Linked DNA regions of Callithrix jacchus. The protein of the gene in region 6 purifies or fractionates together with the protein of the main gene of each other region. This does not show direct contact. Links are inferred from orthologs where the notes say so. Each region holds a gene or a part of one and is shown on either strand. Other genes may lie near its edges.

Evidence for each region.
Region 1: the proteins of HNRNPH1 (region 6) and TARDBP purify together in Homo sapiens (affinity purification with western blotting; 3 studies listed by BioGRID and IntAct, with this or other methods). This does not show direct contact. The link is inferred for Callithrix jacchus from reciprocal best matches to the Homo sapiens genes HNRNPH1 and TARDBP.
Region 2: the proteins of HNRNPH1 (region 6) and HNRNPA3 fractionate together in Homo sapiens (co-fractionation; 3 studies listed by BioGRID and IntAct, with this or other methods). This does not show direct contact. The link is inferred for Callithrix jacchus from reciprocal best matches to the Homo sapiens genes HNRNPH1 and HNRNPA3.
Region 3: the proteins of HNRNPH1 (region 6) and HNRNPR fractionate together in Homo sapiens (co-fractionation; 3 studies listed by BioGRID and IntAct, with this or other methods). This does not show direct contact. The link is inferred for Callithrix jacchus from reciprocal best matches to the Homo sapiens genes HNRNPH1 and HNRNPR.
Region 4: the proteins of HNRNPH1 (region 6) and ILF2 fractionate together in Homo sapiens (co-fractionation; 3 studies listed by BioGRID and IntAct, with this or other methods). This does not show direct contact. The link is inferred for Callithrix jacchus from reciprocal best matches to the Homo sapiens genes HNRNPH1 and ILF2.
Region 5: the proteins of HNRNPH1 (region 6) and HNRNPUL1 fractionate together in Homo sapiens (co-fractionation; 3 studies listed by BioGRID and IntAct, with this or other methods). This does not show direct contact. The link is inferred for Callithrix jacchus from reciprocal best matches to the Homo sapiens genes HNRNPH1 and HNRNPUL1.
Region 7: the proteins of HNRNPH1 (region 6) and FUS purify together in Homo sapiens (affinity purification with mass spectrometry; 4 studies listed by BioGRID and IntAct, with this or other methods). This does not show direct contact. The link is inferred for Callithrix jacchus from reciprocal best matches to the Homo sapiens genes HNRNPH1 and FUS.

The regions. Positions count from the first base shown.
Region 1 is NC_133508.1:48,886,190-48,890,623, forward strand, and holds the start of TARDBP (TAR DNA-binding protein 43), read left to right. Parts: upstream 1-1,503; 5' UTR 1,504-1,588; intron 1,589-2,552; 5' UTR 2,553-2,563; coding exon 2,564-2,801; intron 2,802-4,434. UniProt on the Homo sapiens protein: RNA-binding protein that is involved in various steps of RNA biogenesis and processing.
Region 2 is NC_133507.1:52,156,273-52,160,127, reverse strand, and holds part of HNRNPA3 (heterogeneous nuclear ribonucleoprotein A3), read left to right. Parts: coding exon 1-140; intron 141-443; coding exon 444-533; intron 534-615; coding exon 616-711; intron 712-799; coding exon 800-877; intron 878-1,596; coding exon 1,597-1,740; intron 1,741-2,580; coding exon 2,581-2,703; intron 2,704-2,817; coding exon 2,818-2,870; 3' UTR 2,871-2,885; intron 2,886-2,977; exon of another isoform or gene 2,978-3,855. UniProt on the Homo sapiens protein: Plays a role in cytoplasmic trafficking of RNA. Binds to the cis-acting response element, A2RE. May be involved in pre-mRNA splicing.
Region 3 is NC_133508.1:60,068,287-60,072,141, reverse strand, and holds part of HNRNPR (heterogeneous nuclear ribonucleoprotein R), read left to right. Parts: intron 1-696; coding exon 697-846; intron 847-3,342; coding exon 3,343-3,464; intron 3,465-3,592; coding exon 3,593-3,855. UniProt on the Homo sapiens protein: Component of ribonucleosomes, which are complexes of at least 20 other different heterogeneous nuclear ribonucleoproteins (hnRNP). hnRNP play an important role in processing of precursor mRNA in the nucleus.
Region 4 is NC_133519.1:14,084,294-14,088,148, reverse strand, and holds part of ILF2 (interleukin enhancer-binding factor 2), read left to right. Parts: intron 1-141; coding exon 142-258; intron 259-1,423; coding exon 1,424-1,502; intron 1,503-1,738; coding exon 1,739-1,826; intron 1,827-2,874; coding exon 2,875-2,936; intron 2,937-3,020; coding exon 3,021-3,135; intron 3,136-3,351; coding exon 3,352-3,442; intron 3,443-3,591; coding exon 3,592-3,752; 3' UTR 3,753-3,855. UniProt on the Homo sapiens protein: Chromatin-interacting protein that forms a stable heterodimer with interleukin enhancer-binding factor 3/ILF3 and plays a role in several biological processes including transcription, innate immunity or cell growth.
Region 5 is NC_133523.1:36,572,368-36,576,222, forward strand, and holds part of HNRNPUL1 (heterogeneous nuclear ribonucleoprotein U-like protein 1), read left to right. Parts: intron 1-2,077; coding exon 2,078-2,344; intron 2,345-3,855.
Region 6 is NC_133503.1:72,027,621-72,032,249, forward strand, and holds the start of HNRNPH1 (heterogeneous nuclear ribonucleoprotein H), read left to right. Parts: upstream 1-1,495; 5' UTR 1,496-1,582; exon of another isoform or gene 1,583-1,695; intron 1,696-2,333; exon of another isoform or gene 2,334-2,737; intron 2,738-2,859; 5' UTR 2,860-2,890; coding exon 2,891-2,987; intron 2,988-4,629. UniProt on the Homo sapiens protein: This protein is a component of the heterogeneous nuclear ribonucleoprotein (hnRNP) complexes which provide the substrate for the processing events that pre-mRNAs undergo before becoming functional, translatable mRNAs in the cytoplasm.
Region 7 is NC_133513.1:30,693,702-30,698,056, forward strand, and holds the start of FUS (RNA-binding protein FUS), read left to right. Parts: upstream 1-1,383; 5' UTR 1,384-1,455; coding exon 1,456-1,468; intron 1,469-3,590; coding exon 3,591-3,615; intron 3,616-3,706; coding exon 3,707-3,861; intron 3,862-4,355. UniProt on the Homo sapiens protein: DNA/RNA-binding protein that plays a role in various cellular processes such as transcription regulation, RNA splicing, RNA transport, DNA repair and damage response. Binds to ssRNA containing the consensus sequence 5'-AGGUAA-3'.

The DNA.
Region 1 (4,434 bases), on a different chromosome or scaffold from region 6:
AATCCCAGCACTTTGGGAGGCCAAGGTGGGCAAATCACAAGGTCAGGAGTTTGAGACCATCCTGGCCAACATGGTGAAACACTGTGTCTACCAAAAATACAAAAATTAGCTGGACGTATCTCAGCTACTTGGGAGGCTGAGGCTGGAGAATCACAGGAACCCAGGAGGCAAAGTTTGCAGTGAGCCGAGATAACAAAGCGCTACTTTGTGTCACGTATCTTCTGAGTACTCACATACTTAACAGCTGCACTGCAGCCCAGACAACAGAGTCTCAAAACGAACAAACAAAACAAAGCCAGGCATGGTGTCTTTGCATTCCTATAATCCCAGCTATCCTTCCAACCTGGGAGGTGGAGGTTGCAGTGAGCTGCAGATCGCTCTAGTGAGACTCCATCTCAATCAATCAATCAAGTGTGCCTTAAAATAGATGAAATACTGTATTATTATATTATTATTAGAGGGCTGGAGCCAGAACATGTTAGCATTTTGTGCCTCGAGATTCAAACCGTAGGTCTACCATTTACTCCTTAGGTGACTTTTGTTTTGTTTTGTTTTAAGAGATGAGATTTTACCATATTGGCCAGGAGGTCTTGATCTCTTGACCTTGTGATCCGCCCGCCTCGGCCTACCAAAATGCTGGGATTACAGGCAGCAGCCACTGAGCCTGGCCAACTTTTTTTTTGGCGGGGGGACAGGGTCTCACTCTTTTGCCCAGATCGGAGTCAAGTGGGGCGATATTGGCTCACCGCAACCTCTGCCTACCTGGTTCAAGCAATTCTCCTGTCTCAGCTTCCCGAGTAGCTGGGATTACAGGCGCACGCTACTATCACCCTATCCTTGGGTGACTTTAAGCAAGATACTTGATCGCTCTGTGCCTCAGTTTCCTCACTCGCAGAATGAATATCAATAGTTCCTGCCGCACAAAACTGTTGGGGCTATTAAGTATGTGAGTACTCAGAAGATACGTGACACAAAGTAGCGCTTTGATTGCTATTATTAGAACAAAGTTATTGTTTCCAGGTTTGGAGGTGGGCTAGCGGAGGGAGGAGAGGACGCAACCGGCAGCCTTTCAGAAAAGGAGTCCGGGTCTTACCCTGCTTCCCAAGTCTATTTGGCCCGGGATCCCGAGCCCCGCCCCCTCCAGGCCCCGCCCCACCCTTTTTGGCCGAGCCCCTGCGCTACTCTCGCGCGCTTTGAAAGTGCGCGAGCTCCGAACGAGACCCGGGCTGGCGGTTGGTCGGCCGAAACCATCTGCTACGTTATGTGGGGGGAGGTCAGCGCCTACACAGCCACATTTTTTTTCGATTTTCAGCTTTTCAGGCCTAGTTCCTGGTCTTATTTTAGCTCTCGAGCTTCTCTGTAGGCTCGAATTTCGAGAAGGCAGCCCGAGTCCCTGGGAAGAGGGTCATCGTGGCTCTCCTCGGCGCCCTCCCCCTCTTGACAAGCGCTCGGTGGGAGAGGACGCCGGCGGGCAGAGGGAGGAGGCGGCTCTAGCGCCATTTTGTGGGAGCGAAGCGGTCGCTGGGCTGCGCTTTGGTTCGTCGCTGCCTCGCTGTCCCTGTCGGGCTTCCCAGCAGCGGCCTAGCGGGTGAGTCGCGGAGCCTTCTCAATGAGGACGCCCTGGGTGTCTCGGCTCCCGCATTGGGGCAGCCCGAGGCGGACGCAGCGGCTTCGGCCCCTGCCCAGGGAAATGAGCCGTGAGGCCGGGCCTCGTCCTGCCCGAGCGGACTCGCTCGGGAGCGTCGTTAGGTCCTGCCGCAGGAAGGCCGCAGGCGCCGAAAGCGGGACCCTGCCCGCGCTGCCGCGCAGCCTGAGGCGAAGGTTTGCCTGGTCCTGAATAGTGCCGGCGCCTTCGGTACTTTGCAGTCCGGGGACGCTGCCAGCTCGGGCCTTGGTGCTCCTGCGCCCCACCCCGGGCCGCGCTAAGAAACTCCTCCCAAGGCTGGCACGCGCGGGTTTCTGGGAGGCGAAGGCCGGCACCGCCAGGATCTGTCGCCGCCGGCCTTGCGGCTCGGGCTTGTAGAGCCCCCGGAAAGCCCCAAAATGAGGAATGGAGAGGACTCTTCTGCTGTTTTTTACACCTGGTTCACTGCTTATATTCAGTCTTCAGGTTCAGCTGATGCATCACTTAATTGGGAAAATCGACCTTAACCCATCATGCCCATGCCTCAGCCTGTTAGGCTCCTCTCCTGACTTCAGGATTACATAACGACTTCCGCGACTGTCATAAAATAGCTACTGTTATTCTCCTGCATACCCCAGCTTGTAACCAGCAAACCACGTTGTACTCAGCAGTTACAGTTGCAATACCTGACATATCATAAGCCCTCAGGGAAAGTTTGTTGATTGAATGAACTGGCGAGGCATCAGATTTTGATAGGAAATCACTACCCTTACCTTCCCCTCGTCATTTTTCAGGGATACTAGTGCATATACGAATCCAGAGAAGAATTTTTCTGGAAGTTAGAACACTAACGTGGTGTAGGTATTAGCATTAGAAGGAAACCATTACTCTGGCGTGAATGTTCATTCATTTCTCTTTTCCTTTTAAGAAAAGTAAAAGATGTCTGAATATATTCGGGTAACCGAAGATGAGAACGATGAACCCATTGAAATACCATCGGAAGATGATGGGACCGTGCTGCTGTCCACGGTTACAGCCCAGTTTCCAGGGGCCTGTGGGCTTCGCTACAGGAATCCAGTGTCTCAATGTATGAGAGGTGTCCGGCTGGTGGAAGGAATTCTGCATGCCCCCGATGCTGGCTGGGGAAATCTGGTGTATGTTGTCAACTATCCCAAAGGTTTGTTACCATTTGGTTTTGTAATCGTGCTGAAGCGTAGTCAGGTGTGTGTCTCATCCATGGGTCATGGCCTCTTTGTGGCGGCAGGTCTCCTGTAACTTAAGTATTTTCTTGAACTTCACAATTAGATAAGTTTGGAAAACCATGAGTCTAAATTTGTGGAAACTGGGGATCATATATCATTTTAAAAGAGAGAACGATGTATTTAAAAAATATTTTAATAAGCTTTGCCCAGTTTCTGCCACGTAAGGAGTTACTAAGAATGCTTGGGACTTGTATCAGTGTTGTAAGTAGATTCTTCTACAGTGCTCCAGTATTTGGGTTTGTTCATTGTCCTTTTGGTCTTAACATCATTCATTCAGGAAATCTGACTTCATTTTTTTCCTTAAATAAACAGCAGTTGCAGTAGCCAAATCTTGAATTAGTGCAGTTCCAATTACAATTTTGAGTTTGTTCATTGTCCTTTTGGTCTTAACATCATTCATTCAGGAAACCTGACTTCATTTTTTTCCTTAAATAAACAGCAGTTGCAGTAGCCAAATCTTGAATTAGTGCAGTTCCAATTACAATTTTGAGGTTCTAGTCTTACCCTTTTTGCTTCATTTTATCACTGATGTTCTAAATCTGAGAAAAGAAAGCATGATATTTTAAAAATGTGCCAAGGAAATAGCTAATTTCAGCAGTATGAATGTGTGCTATTAGTTGATCTGTGTTGCTTTTATTATAACTTGATATTGCAACAAAGTCCATCAAATTTGGTCAGTATGCAAGATGTTAATTTACATGTCTAGAAAAATTTTAGGGCCTGGTGCAGTAGCTCACACCTGTAATCCCAGCACTTTGGGAGGCTGAAGTGGGTGTATCAGCCAAGGTAAGAAGTTTGAGACCAGCCTGGCCAACATGGTGAAACCTGGTCTCTATTAAAAACACAAAAAATTAGCCAGGCTTGGTGGTGGGTGCCTGTAATCCCAGCTACTCCAGAGGCTGAGGCAGGAGAATCGCTTGAACCTGGGAGGCCGAGGTTGAAGTGAGCCGAGATTGCACCATTGTACTCCAGCCTGGGCAACAAGAGTGAAACTCCATTGCGAAACAAAAGAAAAAAAAAACAAATTAGCCAGGCACCTATAGTCCCAGCTACTCTGGAGGCTGAGGCAGGAGAATTGCTTGAACCTGGAAGGTGGAGGTTAGTGACCTGAGATCATGCCATTGCACTCCATCCTGGGTAACAGAGCAAGACTCTGTCTCAAAAAAAACACAAAGAAAAAAGAAAAATTTTAATAATGTTAACTCAGGGTTTTTAGTATGCTGTTTCTTGAGCAATTGGGTATAGAAATACTTACCCAAATTTAAAATGTCAGGCTGGGTGCACTGCCTCCCAGCACTTTGGGAGGCTGAGGCAGGCAGATCATCTGAGGTCAGAAGTTCAAGACCAGCCTGACCAACATGGTAAAACCCCGTCTCTATTAAAAATACAAAAATTAGCCATGTGTGGTAGTTCACACCTATAGTCTCAGTTACTTGGGAGGCTTAGGCAAAAGAATTGCTTGAACCCAGAAGGTGGAGGTTACAGTGAGCTCTTGCCACTGCTCTCCAGCCTGGGCAGCAGAGCGAGACTCCATCTCAAAAGAAAAAA
Region 2 (3,855 bases), on a different chromosome or scaffold from region 6:
AGAGTATAATTTGAGAGACTACTTTGAAAAGTATGGCAAGATTGAAACCATAGAAGTTATGGAAGACAGGCAGAGTGGAAAAAAGAGAGGATTTGCTTTTGTAACTTTCGATGATCATGATACAGTTGATAAAATTGTTGGTAAGTAGCAATTTATGGGAACTTAAATGAGAAAAAAGTGGTTTCTCTGTTTTGAACTAAATTTGCCAAATTGCTTGTAATTTTCTGTTGCATGTAACAGCCTTTATAGTGTATGGTCAATAACTCTGTAATCAGTATCCAGGTAAAGGAATAAACATTAACATCTCAGAATGCTCCTTCATTCCCAGAGTCACTACCTGATTATGTCTTAATGGGTTACATAATGACAGAGGGTATCATATATATGCGCTTTTCCAAACACAAAATAACTTTTTGTTTTGTTTGATTAAAAAAAAAATGTAGTTCAGAAATACCACACTATTAATGGGCATAATTGTGAAGTGAAAAAGGCCCTTTCTAAACAAGAGATGCAGTCTGCTGGATCACAGAGAGGTGAGTAGTATCATACACATGTACACAAAAGATTTTAGTGGTGGCTGTAAGATTCTTAAAATCTCCCTTGCCTATGTTAAAGGTCGTGGAGGTGGATCTGGCAATTTTATGGGTCGCGGAGGAAACTTTGGAGGTGGTGGAGGTAATTTTGGCCGTGGTGGAAACTTTGGTGGAAGAGGTAGGATGTTTATCTTCTAAGTACATATGTACCTAACGTTTTGGTAAGTTAAATATATGATTTTAATTCATATCTTGTTTTTCCTCAGGAGGTTATGGTGGTGGAGGTGGTGGCAGCAGAGGTAGTTATGGAGGAGGTGATGGTGGATATAATGGATTTGGTGATGGTAGGTGGTTTATTTTAATAACTTTCTTTACCTTATGGAAAATTAAGTATTCTACCTTTCTAATTTTAATTAAAACTTGAATGACTTAATGGTTAAGACGTATTTCCAAACTAATGCCATAGAAGAGTAGAGACTCTTTTTCCCCTGGAGATTTAACATTAACTGGTCTTTTTCAGAGAGTACTAGGAGTTGAGCTAGAATTGAAGTCTGGGGCTGTATTTTTCTTAGTGCAGATTGATAAAATGAAAACTGAAGCATTTATTTTCATTCTTACTAGCTCTAGATACTTGCTATTCTATTATTTTTTGGTATTACCAGGTTTCAGAGTGTTAACTCATTGGCTTATTTGCCAGTGGCTTAAATGTAATATAAAACCAGAATTGAGTAATGCTAGCTATTCAGGAGGCTGGAGCAGAAGGATCACTTGAGGTGAGGATTTTGAGACCAGTCTGAGCAACATCAGGAGACCATGTTGCTAGAAAAAATAGGGGAATTTGGTGGCACATGCCCATAGTATAGCTACTCGGGCGGCTGACGTGGGAGAGTGGCATGAGCCCAGGAGTTCAAGGCTGCATTGTTGTGGTCATGCCACTATACTCGAGACTGGGCAACAGACCAAGATCTGGTTTCTTAAACATACAATCACCAGAATTGAGTAACTTCACTCTTTACACATTTATGTTTTTGTGTGCTCTTATTTTTTGTTGTTTTTTTTTTAGGTGGCAACTATGGCGGTGGTCCTGGTTATAGTAGTAGAGGGGGTTATGGTGGTGGTGGACCAGGATATGGAAACCAAGGTGGTGGATATGGTGGCGGTGGTGGAGGATATGATGGTTACAACGAAGGAGGAAATTTTGGTGGTGGTAAGCATTCACTTTTTTCATTTAAATGTGAACTATTCAGTGTTGCTAACAGTTCCCATGACATATATTTGACAAGTGTTAAAAGTTAGCAGTTGGTAAAATTGTGTGTTCTGTAATATTAGAAAATAATAAAATGGTGGGTAATTCAAATTTTCTTGACTTTGCTGATTGTTTACTAAAATACACTCAACTCTTAGTTGAGAAGTTAAAAGTGGTCATTTGCCAGTATGTAATAATACATGTAAAAGATAGGGAGTTTATATATTGCCAGAATTTTACCTTGACTCTTAGGTACTTTTAAACTGAACTTTTAAGTACTTTTAAATGGACAAATGGGAGTAAATTGTTTGAATACTGAGACAAGTTGAAGTGAGCAGGTTGCCATCTAGGTGTAAGAGAAAAAGTACTTTGTGTCAATACGTCACAGGTATGTTGCAGGCTTTAATGTAGGTCATTACTCCAGGATACTGTTAAGATCCTTACGAGTGTCCTGTTTTGTTGGACCTAATTAACATGTCAGTGACAGATGAGCGAAGGTTTAACAAGTTAGAATGCCTTCACATTGTTTTAAATGTTATACTGCAGCAGCATCATAGTGAGTGGAACACTGACAATTTCAATGGTGTTAATGGTAGAAAGAACATGTGCCTAGAGAATACCATCTAATACAAACAAAATGTTGATGGTCTTTCAATATGCTGACATCAGTTATTCCAAGTGGTGCTACCAAAGTGATGTGTGTAAGCATGCTACCATAATTGTGAAACAATAATAGTTACATCAAAAGGGGAAAATGATTATTGTGTGGGTAAACCACACATAAACCCTTTCTGATTTCAGGTAACTATGGTGGTGGTGGGAACTATAATGATTTTGGAAATTATAGTGGACAACAGCAATCAAATTATGGACCCATGAAAGGGGGCAGTTTTGGTGGAAGAAGCTCGGGCAGTCCCTATGGTGGTAAGTACTTCTTAAATCATTCTTTAAGAGTCTTTAATTTAAAAAAAATGCATACTTCTTTTAAGATATTATGTATATTTTTAGTGGTTATGGATCTATTATATATATTTTTAGGTGGTTATGGATCTGGTGGTGGAAGTGGTGGATATGGTAGCAGAAGGTTCTAAAAGCAGCAGAAAAGGGTAGGTATCTTTAAATTTTTGTCATGATGATAAAGAATATGTGGAACTGTTCACTGAGTGTAATAATTTTTTTATCCTGTATTATTCAACAGGCTACAGTTCTTAGCAGGAGAGAGAGCGAGGAGTTGTCAGGAAAGCTGCAGGTTACTTTGAGACAGTCGTCCCAAATGCATTAGAGGAACTGTAAAAATCTGCCACAGAAGGAGCGATGATCCATAGTCAGAAAAGTTACTGCAGCTTAAACAGGAAACCCTTCTTGTTCAGGACTGTCATAGCCACAGTTTGCAAAAAGTGCAGCTATTGATTAATGCAATGTAGTGTCAATTAGATGTACATTCCTGAGGTCTTTTATCTGTTGTAGCTTTGTCTTTTTCTTTTTCTTTTCATTACATCAGGTATATTGCCCTGTAAATTGTGGTAGTGGTACCAGGAATAAAAAATTAAGGAATTTTTAACTTTTCAATATTTGTGTAGTTCAGTTTTTCTACATTTTAGTACAGAAACTTTAACAAAATGCAGTTTTGAAGGTGTTTCCTTGTGAGTTAACAAGTAAAGAAGATCATTGTTAATTACTATTTTGTATGAATTTTGCTAAAGTTAACTGTAAAGAAACACCTGCTGACTTGCAGTTTAAGGGGAATCTATTCTCCCCATTTCCAAACCATAATATGAATGGGCACTGACATGTGGAGAGAATAGATATATGTGTGTTTGCAATGTGTGTTTTAGGTAAATAGGACTGGGTATTTAAATTAGCATTTGTGAATTTAATAGCATTAAGATTACCTTCAAATGAAAAATATCTCAAAACTTCTATTTGGTTTTTGTGCATTTTCTTTTAAAATGTAATCACATGATTTTAGTGTGTTAGACTTGCTGAGTCCTAGCTGTGTTTAGAACATCTTCATTCTACGTTTAGCTTGGTCAAATTTGAACTGCTGCCATAGGTTTTGGGTGTAAAGAATGTTTA
Region 3 (3,855 bases), on a different chromosome or scaffold from region 6:
TTTATTTTTAGTAGTTGAGTATATCACTCTTATGTATCCTGGATTTTAAGTCATATGGTCATCTCCACTCCAGTGATATATAAAGAAATCATCCTTATTCTGATACTTTCTTAGTCCTCCCTCCACCCGTTTATCATTTAAATTTTCAATCTGTTGGGAGTTTATGCTGGTTTATAGTGTGAAGTGTGGACCATCTTTTATCTTTTTTTTTTCTGATTAACAGTACCTGATTTAGTGATTTAAGGATTATGTTTGTTTATATTCAGTAGGGCCAGTCTCTAAATTTTACTTTTTTTTCCCCCTGGTTATTCTTGCTTATTTATTTTTTCATATGAACTTTTAAAAGTTACTTGGTTTTAGAGGGAAGAAAGAAAAGCTTATTTTGAAGTGGACTTGGGGACCATGTCAAATTTGTTAATTAACTTGAAATAATAATTATATGTTGGTTTCTTGAAGGTTCTACTCAGTGTTAGGTGCTTTAATGACAACATAGGAGAAGGCAGTAACCAATAGTTTTTATAAATTGATGACTGCTATTAGTATAATTTTCCTAGCAGTTTCTTATACTACCTGTAACAGCACTTTTAGCACTTAATGTTTTAGAGGGGAAAAGCCTATGCTTTGAAGACAGGAAGAAACACTTTTCAGGTAGAATTAAGTAGCCAATTACAGTTCCGTTTATTTGTTGCTTACTAGGTAAAAGTTTTGTTTGTGAGAAATTTGGCTACTACAGTCACAGAAGAAATATTGGAAAAGTCATTTTCTGAATTTGGAAAACTTGAAAGAGTGAAGAAGTTGAAAGATTATGCATTTGTTCATTTTGAAGACAGAGGAGCAGCCGTTAAGGTAGAAATTTTGGAATTTTGGTTCTTGATATTTGAATTTTGTTTTCAAAAGTTGCTAAACACATAAAATAACTTTAAAAACAAATAAAATTGGTTGTTAGCTTTTGCTGAACTCTGGAACTTTCTATTTAATCTCTAAAGTGGTAGTATTATGACAGATAAGACTTCATATTTCAAAGCCAGATTATTACTGAGTTGGTGATTTTAGGCAAGCTATTTTTAATCTCTGTATTGTTTTGTAAGATTTGATAGCATGATGCCTTGGAAGTATTACAAGGCATAAAAATTAGCTGCTGTAAACACTAAATAGGTAGTGAATGTATTATAACTACTTAGTTTACCTCAGTTTGTGTACCTATGAAGGAAACTGAATGGTGCACATAACTCTCACAGTATACAGTGTTTGATTGGGTAGATACATTGTGATGGTATGATTAGTTTTACTTTAATTATTTTAGAGTTAAAATAACATTGGCTATGTTTTACTGATTTCAGTAATTGTTAGAGTTAGCTCTTGTGTATAATAGTCTTTGATGACAATGAAGTGTGAAAAATGTATTTTCATATACTATCTGGAACACAAAACCTGCTCTGCTTTCTATTGACAATGGACCATATTTTTTTTTTTTTTTTTTTTTTTTTTTGTGGAGTCTTGCTCTATCACCCAGGCTGGAGTGCAATGGCATGATCTTGGCTCACTGCAACCTCTGCCTACCGGGTTCAAGTGATTCTCCTGCTTTAGCCTTCTGAGTAGCTGGAATTACAGGCACATGCCACCATGCCCAGCTAATTTTTGGATTTTTAGTAGAGACAGGGTTTCACTGTGTTGGTCAGGCTGGTCTTGAACTCCTGACCTCATGATCTGCCCACCTAAGCCTCCCAAAATGCTGGGATTACAGGCTTGAGCCACTGTGCTCCGCAGTTTAGATCCATCTTTAATGGGTGAAAATTTCAGTTTCTTTTTCTTGTTCATCTGTCCTTCCTTGAAGGGATGGGAAGGAAGACAAAACATTACTAAGATCTTTTTTATGTTATTAGGAAGATAGATCCAGAATGCTCAGTGACACAGGCTTGGTTCTTTCTCTGCATATTTGGTCGACAGGGTACTGCACCTCTAATTTGGGCATTTTTTTTGTTTTGTTTTTTGCCCAGGCTACTGCATTTTAAACAGGCTTTATAGAATCTCTGACTAGTTTAGAATTAATTGGCTTGCTCATTTATGGTAGCTAATTAATGAATGGTATTGTTAATAAAATTCATAACTTGTCCAAGATCATAAACTCAGTAATAACCTGGCTTTGAAATATGGAGTCTTACCTGTTATACTGTTACACTCTTAACTGTTAATGTGTGGCTTCTGAAATTTCCACTGGTATAGAATGCAGATGACTGATAATTTATGCTTTCCAAATATTCCTCCTGTCTCGATTGTTTTAGGATGGTTTGCCAAAGAAGCCTATGAAATTACAAAATATCTAGTCCAGGAACTGGGAAGTCACTAGGATGGTCAGGGCAGACAATAGATGTTTCATTTTTTGATTTATGCCAGGAAGCTTTTGTAAAGTTGTTGAGTTGCTTTAACGGAAGAAATGTAAAGCTGAGGTGGTAAAAGGGAAAATTGAAGTCTTCAGTTTTTTTTCTAGATACTTATAAATCACTGATAGTTCTTTATAAATAGAACATTTTTAGTATGTGCGCCCAGAGTGGGGAAAGGTAGAGGGAAACAAAAAATAAATTACGAGGAGGTGACATTTTCTTACTATCTGAACCTTTTGATGAATGGCAGAGGTTGTTAGGTGGAACAGCATGAACAAAGGGCAAGAACGTGGAATGTTTGATTACTGCTTTCTGCGTAATTGCTTGAGTCTTCATTACTTCATTAGTCCAGGCCTTTTCTGGCTCTCTACTTTTAACTGTTCAGGCAGAGTACATTTTGGGTTAAGCATTGTAGGGGAACTTGGGCTTTTTGTGTTGGTATCTCGTTGAATTTTAAAGATAATCTCACTCAGTAACCTCATTTGTGCTTCAGATCCTTGAAATTTTTATATAAGAACAGTGTAAGACCTGTATGTTGAATGCCACACGTTTATTTTTAAATTAATCCTGAAAAGTTAATCTTTGTCTGGTTTGCATTAATACTGGCGTTTTTCCCTGGTATGGATTTGCTTCTTTCTTTAGTATGGCTTATCTTTTAAGGAGTTGGTTATTTGGAATTAAGGAGAAACAATAGATGGCAACTATTTTACCTTTTAAAATATAATATCAGGAGGTTGGTTTTGTTCTTGATGTAATTTACATATAAAAAGATTAGGTCAAGGGAAACGTTTTTTCTGTGTGTGTGTGCGCGTGTGCGCGTTTACCTTTCTGGCTAGATTTACCTTTTGCCATTTAAAATAATTGTGAAGTAAATTGTTTATTAAGTATATTAATGACATGTGTATGTTATGTTTTATTATAAAACATTGTAAAGTAAATTAATTTTTCTAATTTTATATAGGCAATGGATGAAATGAATGGCAAAGAAATAGAAGGGGAAGAAATTGAAATAGTCTTAGCCAAGCCACCAGACAAGAAAAGGAAAGAGCGTCAAGCTGCTAGACAGGCCTCCAGAAGCACTGCGTGAGTCTACATTTTAGTATTTATCTCTTTGGATAAGGAATAACAATAATGGAGATCAGATTAATAAAATCAGGGGTCTTGAAGCAAACTAATTTGTTTTTTCTTCTCTCCCTTCCCTCCTTTGCTAGGTATGAAGATTATTACTACCACCCTCCTCCTCGAATGCCACCTCCAATTAGAGGTCGGGGTCGTGGTGGGGGGAGAGGTGGATATGGCTACCCTCCAGATTACTATGGCTATGAAGATTACTATGATGATTACTATGGTTATGATTATCACGACTATCGTGGAGGCTATGAAGATCCCTACTACGGCTATGATGATGGCTATGCAGTAAGAGGAAGAGGAGGAGGAAGGGGAGGGCGAGGTGCTCCACCACCACCAAGGGGGA
Region 4 (3,855 bases), on a different chromosome or scaffold from region 6:
TTTCTAAAGCTCTGTATTCTAAATTCTCATTCTGGACTTTTTGCTGTTTTAAGAAATTGCTGTTCCCTCCCTACCCTGGATTTAACTTTGGTCATCTAATGGAAATGTGAGTTATATTTTTTGTTTATTCTGTTCTTTCAGTTTTAACTATGCTGACCAATGAAACTGGCTTTGAAATCAGTTCTTCTGATGCTACAGTGAAGATTCTCATTACAACAGTGCCACCCAATCTTCGAAAACTGGACCCAGAACTCCATTGTTAGTTCTTTTTTTTCTGTTGCTGGAAAATTTAGGGGATATTAAAAACATGGTATGGTTGCTGTTTAGTTTACTTAGCTTGTTGCTATTCCACATGCAGCTCTCTGGGAATTGAAGAACTCAAGTTTACTCTAAACTTTGCTCTCTCCCTCTGTAATTTGGAAATAGTTTTTTATCCAAATTTGCTAGTGGAATATTCAGATGGGGTGATCAAGAAAATAGTTGGAGGATTTAAAAAGGACTGAGAAGCCAGGCACAGTGGCTCACGCCTGTAATCCCAGCACTTTGGGAGGCCCAGGCGGATGGAACCACGAGGTCAAGAGATCGAGACCATCCTGGTCAACATGGTGAAACCCCGTCTCTACTAAAAATACAAAAAATTAGCTGGGCATGGTGGCGCGTGCCTGTAATCACACCCGCCTGGGCCTCCCAAAGTGCTGGGATTACAGGCATGAGCCACTGTGCCTGGCTTCTCAGTCCTTTTTACATCCTCCAACTATTTTACTCAGAAGGCTGAGGCAGGAGAATTGCCTGAACCCAGGAGGCGGAGGTTGCGGTGAGCTGAGAGATGGTTCCATTGCACTCCAGCCTGGGTAACGAGCGAAACTCCATCTCAAAAAAAAAAAAAGGACTGAGAAAATATTTATGGAGGAGGAGGATAGGCTTTTGGAGAAAATCATGTATCTTGCATGGTTCTAGTGATTTTTAGGCATGTGATTTGCTGATATGAGGAACATGGGATGACTTAAAGAACTGAAAAGTTGGCTGTGTGCAGTGGTTTACGCTTGTAATCCCAGTGCTCTGGGAGGCTGAGCTGGGTGGATCACCTGAGGTCAGGAGTTCGAGAGCAGCCAGTCCAACATGGTGAAATCCCGTCTCTACTAAAATAAAAAAAAATTTAGCTGGCATGATGGTGGGTGCCTGTAATTCCAGCTACTCAGGAAGCTGAGGCAGGAGAATCGTTTGAACCCAGAAGGCGGAGGTTGCAGTGAGCGGAGATTGCGACACTGTACTCCAGCCTGGATGACGAGACTACATCCCAAAAAAATGACAAGAATTGCAGAGTTATCCTGTCCTCCTTCCAAGTTTTTAGACTGTAGCAGTAGTACTGAGTAGCTTATTTAATGAAAATGTTTCATCCTGGCCTATCATGCTTGTCTTATAGTGGATATCAAGGTATTGCAGAGTGCCTTAGCAGCCATCCGACATGCCCGCTGGTTTGAGGAAAATGCTTCTCAGTCCACGTGAGTCTCTCCCTGACCATTTGGATTAAGATAACCTTTCTAACAGCAGTGAATAGCAGGATACCCCAGACTGTTTTGTTTGGATTTTGATTTTTACCTTAAGTAAGCAAATTAAGATTGAGAGAAAGCAGAGAATGTATAGTTCTGGAAACAGTGTAGTCAGCTTCAACTCTACATTAGGCATGGAAATACATGATCGTATTGCTTTTAACCTTTGGGTCACTCTTAACTTTCAGAGTTAAAGTTCTCATCAGACTACTGAAAGACTTGAGGATTCGTTTTCCTGGCTTTGAGCCCCTAACACCCTGGATCCTTGACCTACTAGTAAGTAAAGATGGGCAACTGGAGTTCCTTGATAATCTATATTTACTAGCAGTAGAAGTAACTCTGGAATTTACCAGAATCTGAAATTTGGTAAAGCTTAAAATAGATTTTTTTTTTTTTTAATTTTAATTTTTTGAGGTGGAGTTTCGCTCATTACCCAGGCTGGAGTACAATGGTGCAATCTCGGCTCACTGCAACCTCCGCCTCCTGGGTTCAGGCAATTCTCCTGCCTCAGCCTTCTGAGTAGCTGGGATTACAGGCACGTGCCACCATGCCCAGCTAATTTTTTTTTTTTTTTTTTTTTGTATTTTTAGTAGAGATGGGGTTTCACCACGTTGACCAGGATGGTTTCGATATCTTGACCTTGTGATCCATCCGCCTCGGCCTCCCAAAGTGCTGGGATTACAGGTGTGAATCACCGCGCCCGGCTAAAATAAATTTTATTGGTAGACAAGTAATCCAATAAAAATTCAAAATTATATGACTCAGAGAAACTTGTTTTTTAAAAAGAAAGAAAAAGTTCAAAGTTTATTTTTTTGTTATATTCAATTAAATGAGTAGTTACTGAGTTAGTGTTCTTTTTCTTCTCATGACTGCTACCATTTCACCATGGTAGTAGAGAGAAATGAGTGAGCAGCCATTTCAGAATTGCTTCTGAACATGAAAATTTTAGCTAGACTTAGGCATTAATGACCAGTTTTCCTTGTGACAATTTAAGGTTTTAGTTTGATGCCTGTAATCCCACCACTTTGGGAGGCTGACGCCAGAGAATCACTTGAAACAAGGAGTTTGAGACCAGCCTGGGCAAAATAGCGAGACTCCGTCTCTATAAGAAAAAAAAAAGATAAGCCAGTTGTAGTGGCTTGCACTCAGCAGGCTGAGGTGGGAGGATTGCTTGAGCCCAGGAGTTTGAGGTTACAGTGAGCTATGATTGTGCCACTGCACTCCAGCCTGGGGGACAAAGTGAGGCCCTATCTTTAAAAAATAAAGTTCTAGTTGCCAGAATTGCCATTTTGGTGGCACACCTACTGGATTTATTATTTTCCAGGGTCATTATGCTGTGATGAACAACCCCACCAGACAGCCTTTGGCCCTAAACGTTGCATACAGGTACAGCATGCTGCTGTGGGTTTAGGGTTGGTTGTAAGATGTTTTGTGTATTCCTTTAATACCTCATACCTCCTTGTGTTCTAGGCGCTGCTTGCAGATTCTGGCTGCGGGACTGTTCCTGCCAGGTTCAGTGGGTATCACTGACCCCTGTGAGAGTGGCAACTTCAGAGTACACACAGTCATGACCCTAGAACAGCAGGTATTGGGACAGATGAACTGGGTTGTTTTGCCTCACTCTTTAATACTCCTGGTCAGAGGCAAAGTGGAATATGATCTTTAGGGGTCAGGAGTTTGGGAATTCCGAAAGACGATGGGATTTTAAAAATTGTCTTAATCTTTATTTCACAAGGATATTAGTCAAATAAGGCCCTTGGATTTTCCTTGCTAACTTACTCTCACTTTTGCTCTACTTTAGGACATGGTCTGCTATACAGCTCAGACTCTCGTCCGAATCCTCTCACATGGTGGCTTTAGGAAGATCCTTGGCCAGGAGGGTGATGCCAGCTGTGAGTGACCATTGTGGGTCAGGGATTTTGTATTATAATCTGCTCTACAAAGAAGCTGTACACTACTTAAATGCCTTAGTATTTCCACAGTGTAAATAATGACTTTTATGCTGGGCTACTTGTCTAACTCACCTTTTTCTCTTTTCTAGATCTTGCTTCTGAAATATCTACCTGGGATGGAGTGATAGTAACACCTTCCGAAAAGGCTTATGAGAAGCCACCAGAGAAGAAGGAAGGAGAGGAAGAAGAGGAGAATACAGAAGAACCACCTCAAGGAGAGGAAGAAGAAAGCATGGAAACTCAGGAGTGACCTTCCCTTCCCTTGACTGGAGCCTAAGCTCGATGCTACTGGGCTTTACATGGTGGTAGACATTTCCGAGGGATAGGGAAGATAATAGGAAGGCAAGTAAACT
Region 5 (3,855 bases), on a different chromosome or scaffold from region 6:
TTGAGACGGAGTTTCGCTCTTGTTACCCAGGCTGGAATGCGATGGCGCGATCTCGGCTCACCGCAACCTCCTCCTCCTGGGTTCAGGCAATTCTCCTGCCTCAGCCTCCCGAGTAGCTGGGATTACAGGCACGTGCCACCATGCCCAGCTAATTTTTTGTATTTTTAGTAGAGACGGGTTTTCACAATGTTGACCAGGATGGTCTTGACCTCTTGACCTCGTGATCCACCTGCCTCGGCCTCCCAAAGTGCTGGGATTACAGCCTTGAGCCACTGCGCCTGGCTTCAGTCACTTCTTAAAGGGCAATTCTCAAGGTGGTCTCCTGAATAAAGAACTTACACTTTTATATCAGAAACTGAACCTTGTATTTTGCTTCAGTCTGCTATCTAATCTCAAGTTTTGAGCCTTTTTGTCTCTGAGATAGGTATTTAGAAAAATATTTAACAAACGTTTTAAAAATATAAATTTTAAAAAGGAAAAAAACACTAAGCAAAAAAGAGCTTTACATATCCTGCAGACAAAGCGATGTTTCCAAAATACAGTTTTGAGCAGTCTGCTCCCCTATTCAAAATGAGTCAGACACTCTGCTCTGCCACCAGCATCAAGTCCACATTCCTGCAGAGTCCCTCAAATGCTGAGGTAGGCCATGTCCCCTCCCCATCACTTCAGTCCTAGCTTCTAACTTCTAGCACAGTACCTGGCATCTTGCAGTGATAGCTCATGTTCCTGTGTACTCACTGTGTATTAAATGTACTATCCCATTTAGCACTTAGAATAAACATAGGCAGTATAAAATAGTATTACCCACCTCTTTTGATAAAGAAACAAGGTGAAATAACTTAACCAAGGCCACAAGTTAGTAAATGGTAGAACTGAAGCTGTCCATCCACCTTCTAAAATAGGATCTTTAATTACTCACTTTAGCAATTCAGTAGTAGTTGTTACAGAATAAATGAATGTGGTCCTTGCATGGCTTTTCAGCTGTTCCTGAATTACTTGCCCCTCATCTGTTATGCCCCTGCCAACCTGACCTTATGTTCTGCGTCACTGCTAGGCTTTTATACACACAACTGAGAAACCATCTCAGAAACTTGCTTCTAGGTAGATCATCTTACTGAATTATGACAGTGTCCTTGTCTCATTCTCCACTGGTCCTTAAGCTCCATTGGTCCCAGATCACCCAGGCATGTATATCAGAAAGAAAGAACTCAGGAAACATGTTCAACAAGCTGAGCTCAGCTCGAAAAGGCCCTGCTGGGGCTTTCCCTCATCTGTTATGTTCATAGAATGCCCTTTGGGGTTTCTTTTGTTTGTTTTTGAAGAGATGGGGCCTCTCTCTGTTACCCAGGCTGTACTTGAACTCCTGGCCTCAAGTGATCCTTCTGCCTCAGCCTCTCAAAGTGATGAGATTATAGGCGTTAGCCACTACACCCTGCTTCTCATCAGTTTTCAGGACAGGACAGGATCACCTTTTCCTTCGTCTTCATCTCAGTCTAGGCACAAGACTCAAATGCTTGGAGCTTCTTAAAATTACCTGCTTCAAGCTGGGTGCAGTAGCTGGAGCCTGTAATTCCAACATTTTGGTAGGACAAGGTGGGAAGATCACATGAGTCCAGGAGTTCAGTATCAGCCTGGGCAACATAACAAGACCCTGTCTATACAAAAAAAATTTAAAAATTAGCCAGGTGTTGTGGAACATGCCTGTAGTCCCAGTTACTCAGGAGACTGAGGTCTGAAGATTGCTTGAACCTGGGAGTTTATGGTTGGAGTGAGCCCTAGCCATGTCACTGTACTCAGCCTGGGGGACAGAGTGAGACCCTGTGTCAAAAAAAAAAAATCTCTTGCTTACCTGCTTCACATTCACCAATTTTGGGGTCTTAGGCAAGGAGGGCTTTGGGCTGGACGTTCTCTGAGATGTTCACTGATGCTGCCCAGTTTACCTGTATGCTGGGGAAGGATGCAATTAAATCTGGAAAGCTGTCCATATTCTACTCCCTGCATCTGTTCTCACCCACATGTGACTCCCAGTGCCTACAGCGAGAGTTGGCAATCATATTCCTTTGGCTTTTTCTCCTAGGACTTTGAATGTGGAAATGACGTGGAACTTTCCTTTACCAAGAATGGAAAGTGGATGGGCATTGCCTTCCGAATCCAAAAGGAAGCCTTGGGGGGTCAGGCCCTCTATCCTCATGTCCTGGTGAAGAATTGCGCAGTGGAGTTCAACTTCGGACAGAGGGCAGAGCCCTACTGTTCTGTCCTCCCAGGGTTTACCTTCATCCAGCACCTTCCCCTTAGTGAGCGGATTCGGGGCACCGTTGGACCAAAGAGCAAGGCAGAATGTGAGGTGAGTGGAGCCAGAATGTATTGGTGGCCACCTTGCTGCCAAGACAGAGGGGAGACACACATAGACTTGCTGCGTGAGTAGCCTTGGGGCAAGTGGCCACTTTGTCTCAGCTCCTCAGAGTTACACTCAGAGCTGAAAAGTTGCTCTGAGTGTGAAGTGAGGGGTGTTGGTGTGACCTAGGTTGAAGTCAGAGAGGCTAAGTTAGTACACCTAAATCTCAGAAACATTCCATCTTCTTAAGTGAGGCCAGAATATGGGAAAAGGAGGCTTTTCTTCCAGCAGAAAAGGACACTAGGTGCTTCTTGGGGAGTGCACTCTGCCACCAAGTGTTCTTTTTTTTCTTTAGAGACAGGGTCTCGCTCTGTCACCCAGGCTGGAGTGCAGTGGTGCGATCATGGCTTACTGCAGCCTTGACCTCCCAGGCTCAAGTGATCCTCCCACCTCAGCTTCTCGAGTAGCTGGGACCACAGGTACATGCCACCATGCCTGGCTAACTTTTTTAGCCACTGAGCCTGGCCCTCCGAGTGTACTTGAAGGAGGCTGAGTAAGTTCCACCTCTCACCCAGAGCTGTCATAAAAGATAAACGGCCTTTGGGACTCTTTGATTCTCAGAGCTATGCTCGTGTCTTTTTTCTTAAAACAATATTTTTCTTGTATGTGTAAGTTATTTACACTTGTTCTAGAAAATTAAGAAGTAAAAAAAAAAATTTAATTCTCCTAATGCCATCATCTACAAATAAGTTTGCTTGCAGAGGTTCGGAGGTCATCTGTTCTTTTTAATGTGCTAAGTGCCTGTTTCATGCTCACAAACTTTCATCATTGAGATTTTATGGTATGAGTGTTATGATACCCTGCCCTTTTCACTTCACATTATTTTGCGAGCTTTTTCCCGTCGCATGAAAACCTCTCTTTGAACATCATTTTTTTCTTTTTTAAAAATCCTTCAAGGAATGAACATCATTCTTAATGGCCTCAAAAACTAGCCATTCCCCTTTTGTTAGGCATTTAAGATGCATCTGTTTACCAAATTCTAAATGTACTGATTAGATACAATTCATGTCCTTGTGTGTACAGCTCTGTTCCTATTTCATACTTCAAGAAAGTTGTATCACTTCTCGTACCCACTCCATGGGCCAGTCCCAGTACACAGCCTTCCCTGGGCTATTGTCGGGGGGCCACATAATCCTGTAAATGGGCTGGATTTGGTGGCAAGCGCCTGTAATTCCAGCACTTTGGGAGGCCAAGGAGGGAGAAGGATCCGTTGAGTCTTAAGAGTTTGAGACCAGCCTGGGCAACATAAGGAGACCTCCATTTCTACCAAACAAACAAAAAACATTAGCCAGATATGATGTCTTGTGCCTGCAGTTCTAGCTGCTCTGGAGGCTGATGTAGGAGGATTGCTTGAGCCTGGGAGTTCAAGGCTGCAGTGAGCCATGTTTGGGCCATTATACTCCAGCCCGGGCAATAGAGTGAGACCCTGTCTCAAAAAAACAAAATTCTATCAATGCTAA
Region 6 (4,629 bases):
TGAGGTGGGATGATTCCTTGAGCCCAAGAGTTCAAGACCAGCCTGGGCAACAATGTAAGATGCCATTGCTACAAAAAAATAAAAAAGTTATCTGAGCAAGGTGGCACATGCCTGTGGTCTACCTACTCAGGAGGTTGGGGCAGGAGGATCATTTGAACCCAGGAGGTAGAGGTTGTGGTGAGCCATGTTTGCACTACTGCACTCCAGTCTGGGTGACGGAGTGAGGCCATGTCTCAGAAAAAAAAAAAAAGGAAAATAAAAATAAAAATTAAAAAACCTTTTTTACGTAAGTTGGACAATTTATGTAAAAGAGAATTGGCTATAAATGTATGAAATTTATTCTACCTCACTAGTATTTTTTTTTTTTTTGAGATGGAGTTTCATTCTTGTTGCCCAGGCTGGAGTGCAATGGCGTGACCTCAGCTCTCTGCAACCTCTGCCTCCTGGGTTTAAGCAATTCTCCTGCCTCAGCCTCCAAAGTAGCTGGGATTACATGCAAGCGCCACCATGCCTGGCTAATTTTTGTTTTGTTTTCTTTGAGTTGGAGTCTTGCTTTGTTGCCCAGGCTGGAGGGCAGTGGTGTGATCTCTGCTCACCGCTTCCTCTGCTTCCTGGGTTCAGGCAATTCTCCTGCCTAGCCCTCCTGAGTAGCTGGGATTACAGGCACATGCCACCACACCTGGCTGATTTTTGTTATCTTTAGTAGAGGTAGGGTTTCACCATGTTGGCCGGGATGGTCTCCAACTCCTGACCTCAAGTGATTCACCTGCCTCAGCCTCCCAAAGTGCTGGGATTACGGGTCTGAGCCACTGCACCTGGTGGGAGTCTCTCTTTCTGATGACCTCAGCCACAGTGCCTTCTGAAATGGTACCACAGGTATGTGCTTCTAGTTCTGTTTGCAGCAGAGTGCATGGCATGTACCATCATTCCCTCTGCCTGCTCTCTATTTGCGTCTCCCTCACATCCAGCAAGACTTTTCCTTTATACAGGACTTGCAGTTAACACCCTTGCCAAGGCCGAAGTGGCCTTTGAAGATCAGGCCCTCCTTAGCTCTGGGCTCCTGTGTTTCTTTGGATGTCCTCTCTACTTTCCTCAAACCTGTCAAAACTGGATTCGGCCTCTGTGGCACTGGGTTTGGAAACATGCTTTGCCCGAATCTTCCGAGGGTGGCACTCAGGCCTGCACTACCTGAGTTAGCCCTGCGGCAGGGTCCAACACTACCTTATGGTTAATTTATTGCCTGTGTCCACGAGAGCTGGGGTGAAGAGGGCAGCCAGATTAGACAGAGGGAGGCCTGGGAAGCTCTGGAGTCTTCGGTTTTGGGCAGTGCTGCTAGAAACCACGAACATTACTCATCTCGCAGCCTATGTGCACACCGGGTGACCCAGGGGCCTCGAATGCAGGGTCTCCACCTGGGGAATCACGCACTGTTACCAATTCAGCGCTGGGATGATTCAGCCGGAGCCTATCCCAGCACAGAGGCCGGCACGCACCCGTAGAGGAGATCGCGCTCGCGAGGCAGTACCCGGCGACCCGTCCTCGTGCCAGGGCCCCAGGGCGTTCCAGGCCCGCCGACCCGGAGGTGGGTCAAGAGGTACAAAGGATGCAAGTTCGTTAGGCAAAAGCGGGGTACAGGCGCGAGCCACAGGCACGGGAACCCCGCGCCGACCAGCGCCCTAGGCCCGACGACGGCAGGTAAGGGGAAGTGGAGGCACACACGGCTGGGGCGTGCCCCAGGCACCATCCGGGAGGCTTCGGGTGCTGGACGTCCGCAGCCCTATAGTTCCCAAGACGCTCGGCAATCTGCAGCTGATCAGCTCCGGCCAGCTTTGGGATAAAGGGGAGACAGGCGGCGCGGGGAGTGGGAACACCCGAAGGCCGCGCTCCTCCTTTCAGGTCGGCCAGGAGCGCCCCGGTAAGACTGGGGGTAAGGGGTAGAAAGACGCCCACCTCATCACAACCCAGAGGTCGGGACTCCTATACAGCCCCATAGGGAACTGGCGGCGCCATTCCCCTCCCCCACGTTGGCGGGTAACGCTAGAGAACGGTTTCAAGGAAGACGCATGCGCAAGAAACAATTATAAACCGCTGAGGCTCCAAGTTCAATATTCGCGATCAAGCGCAGGCGCAATAAAAAGCCCGGCGGGTTAATGGGTGGGGGTGCTGAGTCCAAAACGCAGGCGTGTAATAATCTACCAACCGGAGGTAGGCTGATTCTTGAAGTTACGCATGCGTCAGAGCTCTTTGTGACGCAAGGGGGCGGGGCGAGCAGCTGGCTGCGCGTGCGCAGAGCTCGCACAAAGGGCCTTATTTAGGTTGCGCAAGCGCCTGTTGGCCATTTCGTCTTACCCACGCTGGAGTTGGGTGTCAGGGTGAGTTGCGGTCGGTCCTCCCTAGCTGTCCAGCGACCCCCGCTGTGGGGTCCGTTTTTGCTAGGATTGTTTTCCTCCCGACCTCTGGGAGGGCTGCGGGGATCTTGGCTAGCTGCGGGCAGCCATCGAGAACCGAAAGTTGTTCGCTGAATCCCAGCACCGCCGCCGAGGCCTGCAGGCCGCGCGGACTCTATTGTGTGAGAAGTCGGAGGAGGCGGAGCGGAAGCGGCCGCCGCCATTTCCTTGTCTCCACGCTGGCTCTCGACCCCCGCCCCCAGGGTTCGGAGCGCCGACAGCTGCTCCCCAGAGCAGCTTTGGGGGTCCGCTCGCTGGCCGAGGAAGTGTTGGGTGTTGGAGTCGCCGGGGTGGGTGCATCCGCCCGGTTTTTGCTCCGTAGGGCGGGTGGCGCGGGCCCGGGGGGGTACATCGGGGGCGGAGCACAGCTTAATGGGCGCTCTCAGGTCTGGTCCTCCTCCCCGCCTTGCAGTTTGTTTCGACGTCGGACCGCGTAAGAGACAATGATGTTGGGCACCGAAGGTGGAGAGGGATTCGTGGTGAAGGTCCGGGGGTTGCCCTGGTCTTGCTCGGCCGATGAAGTGCAGAGGTTTTTTTCTGGTGAGTTACCACTAGAACGCGGGAGTTCGAGTTCGAGGCCTGGGCGGGCGGGCTGGCGGGCGGGCTGGCGGGCAGCCGGGCTGGGGCGGGCCGGGCGGGACTCGGGGCGCCCCCTGGCGTGGCGCGGATGACTGCAGTTCCCGCTGTGCTGTTCGCGCCCCGCCGACCGCTGTTACGCAATGGAAATTTCGAAAGCCCCGCCGCCTTCCTGTTTCTTGGAGTGCTGCCGATCTGGTAGACTTGTTTTCTTTACCTGCCTTTGAACACCAGCTCTTCTTTTTTTTTCCGTTTTCGGCTCACTGCGATTCGGGTTGAAGCGATTCTCCTTGCCGCAGGCTCCGGAATAGGTGGGATTACAGGCGTGTGTCACTATGCCTGGCTAACTTACTGTACTCTTTTTCTTTTTTAAGACGGGGTTTCAACATGTTGGTTGGGCTGGTCTTGAATTCCCGATCTCAGGTGATCCGCCCGCCTTGGCCTCCAAAGTGCGTGGATTACAGGCGTGAACCACCACGCCCGGCCATCTTTTTGTATTTTTAGTAGAGACGGGGGTTTCACCATATTGGACAGGCCGGTCTCGAACTCCTGACCTGAAATGATCGGCTGCCTCGGCCTCCCAGAAGTGCTTGGGATTACAGGCGTGAGCCACTGCTCCCTGTCTGGGTATCTTTTGGAAAGGATAAATTGGCATAGATGGGATTTCTTCTTGAATCTTGAGAAAAATCTCCCGAGTGATTAGACAAATTGTAATGTTTTGGAATATCTTGAAGTGTAACCTCTTGTTTACAGTTTCGGTGTTTCCTTGAAAATGAGCATTCTGCTTCGGAAAGTTAAAGTGTCACGTCTTAATTTCGGTTTTCCTAATCAAGATTTGGTAATTGAGATGTGTTTGCTAGTCTAGTTCTTGATATGGCTCTCTATACAGTTGAAGACGCTGAAGCCCAGGGAAGTTTTCTTGCCTGTGTAAATTTTTTTCCAGTACACAGTTTTCCTGAGTATTTTCTATCAGAATGTTCTTGTTCGCAGCATTAGACTGGGGAAAAGAAATTAGTTTAGACTGATGAAATTCTATTTGGATGAAATTGACAGCTTTTGGTAAGACGTTTGTAGTGTTGACTTACTATCTGAATTTAGCGTTGGTAATGGAAAACGACCTGTAAAACAAGAACCAAGTACACTGGAAGCCACCTTGCAGGGGGCAACACTGGGTTTGGCTGCAGCTGTGCAGCTTGGAGCATTTTAGCTTGGTAACACTGATTCCCTTTCAGGTTAGTATTGGGCCTGCAATTTGGATTTGAATGAGAAACCGTAATGTCGCTGCTGGTAAAGTAAAACTGACAAATGCACCAGACCAAAACAACTCACAACGAAGTATGTTTGCCATAAAGTCACAAAGTACAGACTTGATAGTATTCTGAGAAATTGATAAAAGATTTGTGATGGAGACATGAGTAACAAGGACTCAAAAGAGAAATTCATTCTGTAACTGCTTTGAATATTGGATGTTGATGGGTTGGAAATAGATCCCCTTGGGAATGAGATTTCTTTTTTAATTGGCATTCTAGGAGTTGGTGATACCGTGGTCATTATAGTCTTCACAAGTTAATGTAATTTTTGGCGTGGGGGACATGGAATAGGTATT
Region 7 (4,355 bases), on a different chromosome or scaffold from region 6:
TGGCCAACATGGTGAAACCCCGTCTCTACTAAAAAATACAAAAATTAGCTGGGCGTGGTGGCGCGTGCCTGTAGTATCAGCTACTAGGGAGGCTGAGGCAGGAGAATTGCTTGAACCCAGGTGGCAGAGATTGCAGCAAGCCGAGATTGCACCACTGTACTCCAGCCTGGCGCCTGGCAACAGAGCAAGACTCGTCTCAGAAAAAAAAAAAAGGAATTAACGTCCTTTGTCTTGTTTTGTTCAAGTTTCAAATTGCCTTCTCCAGGCAATGCTGATGAAAGTTCAAGTTGCACGTTACTTTGAAGTTTTCTTTTTGCTTTTGCTTTCACAGGAAGTGAAAGGGCGACCAAACACTAGCATTCAGGTCACCAAAAAGAGGAGTGTTTTGCAGTCACGAGACCTGAATTCGAATCACGACTCCTCTTAGCTGCCCTGTAATCAGGTACAATTACTTGGGTCTTTGAATCTCACTTTTCTTATCCAGAAAACGGAGATATCGTTACTTCCTTCCTAAGTCTGTGGTGAGAAATAAATTATCTGTGCATTTTGAAACCACCTAAGCCTTGTGCACATTTTATTTCTGGGATCGCCACTGGTTCCTTGGTAGGGTTTCAGAAAAATATAAAGGAGGTCCCTGAGAAAAGGCTGCGGATCCTTCATCTGAGGTCAACCCTCTCAGGTCCCAAAGATGGCCTGGGCGGTCCCGCCCGGCGGCTCCCGCGAGCCCAGTGCTGGACCAGCCCGGCACCCAGGGGTCCAGGCCAAAATGACCTGCTGTCTTTCAGGTCAAACGTCACAATGCGCCAACCCCAGAAAGGCCGAAAGGCCAGGCAACCCCGAAAGACGACTAAGTCAACACCAGGGCCCAAGGGAGAGGGAGGCTCAGTGTGTGCTGCTGGAGGAGGGAGGCTGGGGTCGGGAGGACGAGGCGCCCCACACAGTGGCAAGGCGGCGGAGGGCAGGAACTCGTCATCCTGGGTGAAAGCGGGGCCCAGCAAAGGGGACCGGCCACAGTAGTCACGATTCCACCCCGCGACTCCCGACTGTGACTCCAGTTCGATCCCTAACTGTCCGGGCCCCTCGCCCCGCCCCCAGCGGGCACTCAGGCCGTACCACTGTGCCTTCATGGGGGTGGACTTAGAGCATGGGCTAATCCTGTAGAGGAGAGAGAGGTTCTTTCTCCAGAAAGTATGATTATGTATAGTATTCACATGTTTTTAGTTAACTTATTTCCCTTCTACCTGCTCGGATCCTCTACGTACCCTAGGAAGTGGGGGGAGTGCATTCCTGCCTCCCCCATGCGCTTCCGCATTTGGTGTGCGCCTGCGCGGTGCGTAGGCGGCAGGGCAGACTTAAGCTTCGACGCAGGAGGCGGGGCTGCTCAGTCCTCGAGGCGTCGGTGTTGTGTAGAGTTGGAATTTCCTTGCTTGCTTGCCTGTGCGCGCGTGCGCGGACATGGCATCAAACGGTAGGTAAGGGCGCGAGGCGGCGGCGGCGGCGCTCCGAGCCGAGTCCTCCTAGTTGGGCTTTTCATTTTCTGTGGGACCGGGGCGGCGATCGCGTGTGGGATTCTCTCGCATCCCTGTGGCGGGAAGCCGCGGAGAGGGGTGACTGGGGGAGGTTGGTGTCGCCATTTTGTTTCGCTCCTCTGGCGCCTAGCGCGCTGGGCGGGAAGTCTTCTCTTCCCAGTCCGTTTGTTTGAGGTGGGCGTGGGGAGGGACGCTTCTTGGTGGTTTGAAGCGTGAGGTGAGGGTGGAAACGCCTGGTCTCCGTGGCCTCGCCTACCCCCACTCCCGGCCCGCGCTCGGGCCCGCTTTGTCGCAGTGCTGCATCCGGGCACTAGCGGCGCGCACGCGCTCTGCGGGCCCCTCCCCCCCTCGTGGCGCTGATACCCCTTCCCCGTCTCGTGTTGGCTCAGCTTTTTGTCGCGAGACCCTTCGCGGAGGACTCGGCGGCGCGCGTCCGGTGTACGCCTTGTTCCTCTGGGGTCCTTCGGGAAGGGGCGGGACTGCTCCGTTCCCGCCTCGGTTGCCACGCGGCGGGGGCGGAGGCTCGGGATCGCGGCCGCGCTCCCGCTTAACGGTTTGGAGGTGGTGGTCGGGACCAACGTATTGTATCGGTGACCCGGCTGGAGAGTTTTTCCCGCCTAATTTTTTTTTTTAGACAGGGTCTCTCTCTTGCCCAGGCTGGAGTGCAGTGGTACGATCTCGGTTCACACTGCAACCTCCTCCTGGGTTCAAGTGATTCTTCTGCCTCAGCTTCCTGAGTAGCTGGCAGGCGTCTGGCTAATTTTTGAATTTTGTGTGTGTGTGTGTGTGTGGAGACGGGGTTTCACCATGTTGATCAGGCTGATTTCGAACGCCTGACCTCAGGTGATCCGCCCTCCTCGACCTCCCAAAGTGCTGAGATTACAGCCGTGAGCCACCGCGTCCGGCCTAAATTTCTTGCTTCTGAGGTGGGGAAGGAGAATAATCTCCATCGGAGGCCACTCCCTCTCCTGGGCCTTTCCCTTTTCCTGCGGGGGAAGCGCCGCGTTTCCCGTACTAGGTGGATGAGTTGATCTTGTTCGTGTATCTTCAGTGGGGCGTTTCAGAACCGCTTTTGCTGCTTTTTGGTCCCCCGGAGCGGGAAGGCAGGTTAGGTGAGAAAACGAACCATCTGGAGCGACAGGACTGGGGAATCGAGTATCAGTCGACTTTCGCCTCCTAAAGCGAGCACTTGGATGATCTTTTTGATTCCGAGGGCTTTGGATCCTGTGACTTCACTAAAAAGCCCACTTAATCTCCGGGGTTGGTCACAATGAAGAATGGCCTTTTTTGAGACATTCTCGTTCTGTGGGTCTGGGTTGAGAGAACGGAGGCCACAGTCTGAACACTGCTTGAATTCAAACCTGTGCCGGTTGGTAGTTCTGCGACTTCGGGCAAGTTAGTCTATTTTGACTCCTGGGGATAAGGCCTTTTTTATAGAATGGATGGAAGTACTGTGCAGTGTTTTAGGGCAACAGTCACTGACATGAATTGGGCTTGCAGAAAGTGGCTGTCCACCGAGACCTTGGTTTTCCCAATGGTTAAGGCTTTTGGGACTCTGTAGAAACTTGCATTTTCTTCTGTTTTCTTTTATTATGAGAACACTTGGCTGATATGCCAGCTTGCTCTTGTCTCATGGGGGAATTGTATGACCTTTTTTGCAACATGGTCCAATTTTTTTCTTTTGAGAGAGTCTCGCCCTGTTGCCCAGGCTGGAGTGCAATGGCGTGATCTCAGCTCCCTGCAACCTCTGCCTCCCAGGTTCATATGCGTCTCCTGCTTCAGCTTCCTCAGTCTGGGATTACAGACGTCCGCCACCATGCTTGGCTAATTTTTTGTATTTTTACGGATTTCACCATGTTGGTTAGGCTGGTCTTGAACTCCTCACCTCAAGTGATCTACCCACCTCGGCCTCCTAAAGTGCTGGAATTACAGGTGTGAACAACCTTGCCTGGCCAACGTGGTCCTGTTTACCCATCAGTGCTTGAGTTAAGGAATTTAGCTTTAATTCAACTCTTTCAGAGTGTTGGCTGAAGATAATGTGATTGTATTTTTCTTTTGCAGATTATACTCAACAAGCAACCCAAAGGTGAGTGCTATTTTTGCGTTTCCAAAGTTTGTAGAGGCCGACGGTGGTCAAGGCCTCTTTTTCTGATCACGCTGGTTTTACTTTTTTCCAGCTATGGGGCCTACCCCACCCAGCCGGGACAGGGCTATTCCCAGCAGAGCAGTCAGCCCTATGGACAGCAGAGTTACAGCGGTTACGGCCAGTCCACAGATACTTCAGGCTATGGCCAGGGCAGCTATGGTTCTTCTTACGGCCAGACCCAGAACAGTGAGTCTCTCTCAGCGAGTCATCTTTTCCTCTACTTTCTGAATGTTGTTTTTTTTCCTTTTTGAGACGAAGTCTCGCTGTGTCACCCAGGCTGGAGTGCAGCGGCGTGGTTTCTGCTCACTGCAACTTCTGCCTTCCTGGTTGAGGTGATTCTCGTTGAGCCCACCCTCCTGAGTAGCTGGGATTACAGGCGTGTGCTACCATACCTGGCTAATTTTTTTTTTTTTTTTGGTATCTTTAGTAAAGATAGGGTTTTGCCATGCTGGCCAGGCTGGTCTCTAACACTTGACGTCATGATCCACCTGCCTCAGCCTCCCAAAGTGATGGGATTACAGGTGTGAGCCACCGCATCCGGCTCTGAATACTGCTTTTGTTAAACCTGAGCAGCATGGAAATGTTGAAACTGTTCCATATTTCCTTTCCCTGAACCACTGTATAATTCTCAAAACTCTTGGGAGTCTGAGTTCTTTACAGGGCATTGTGGCAAACCTACA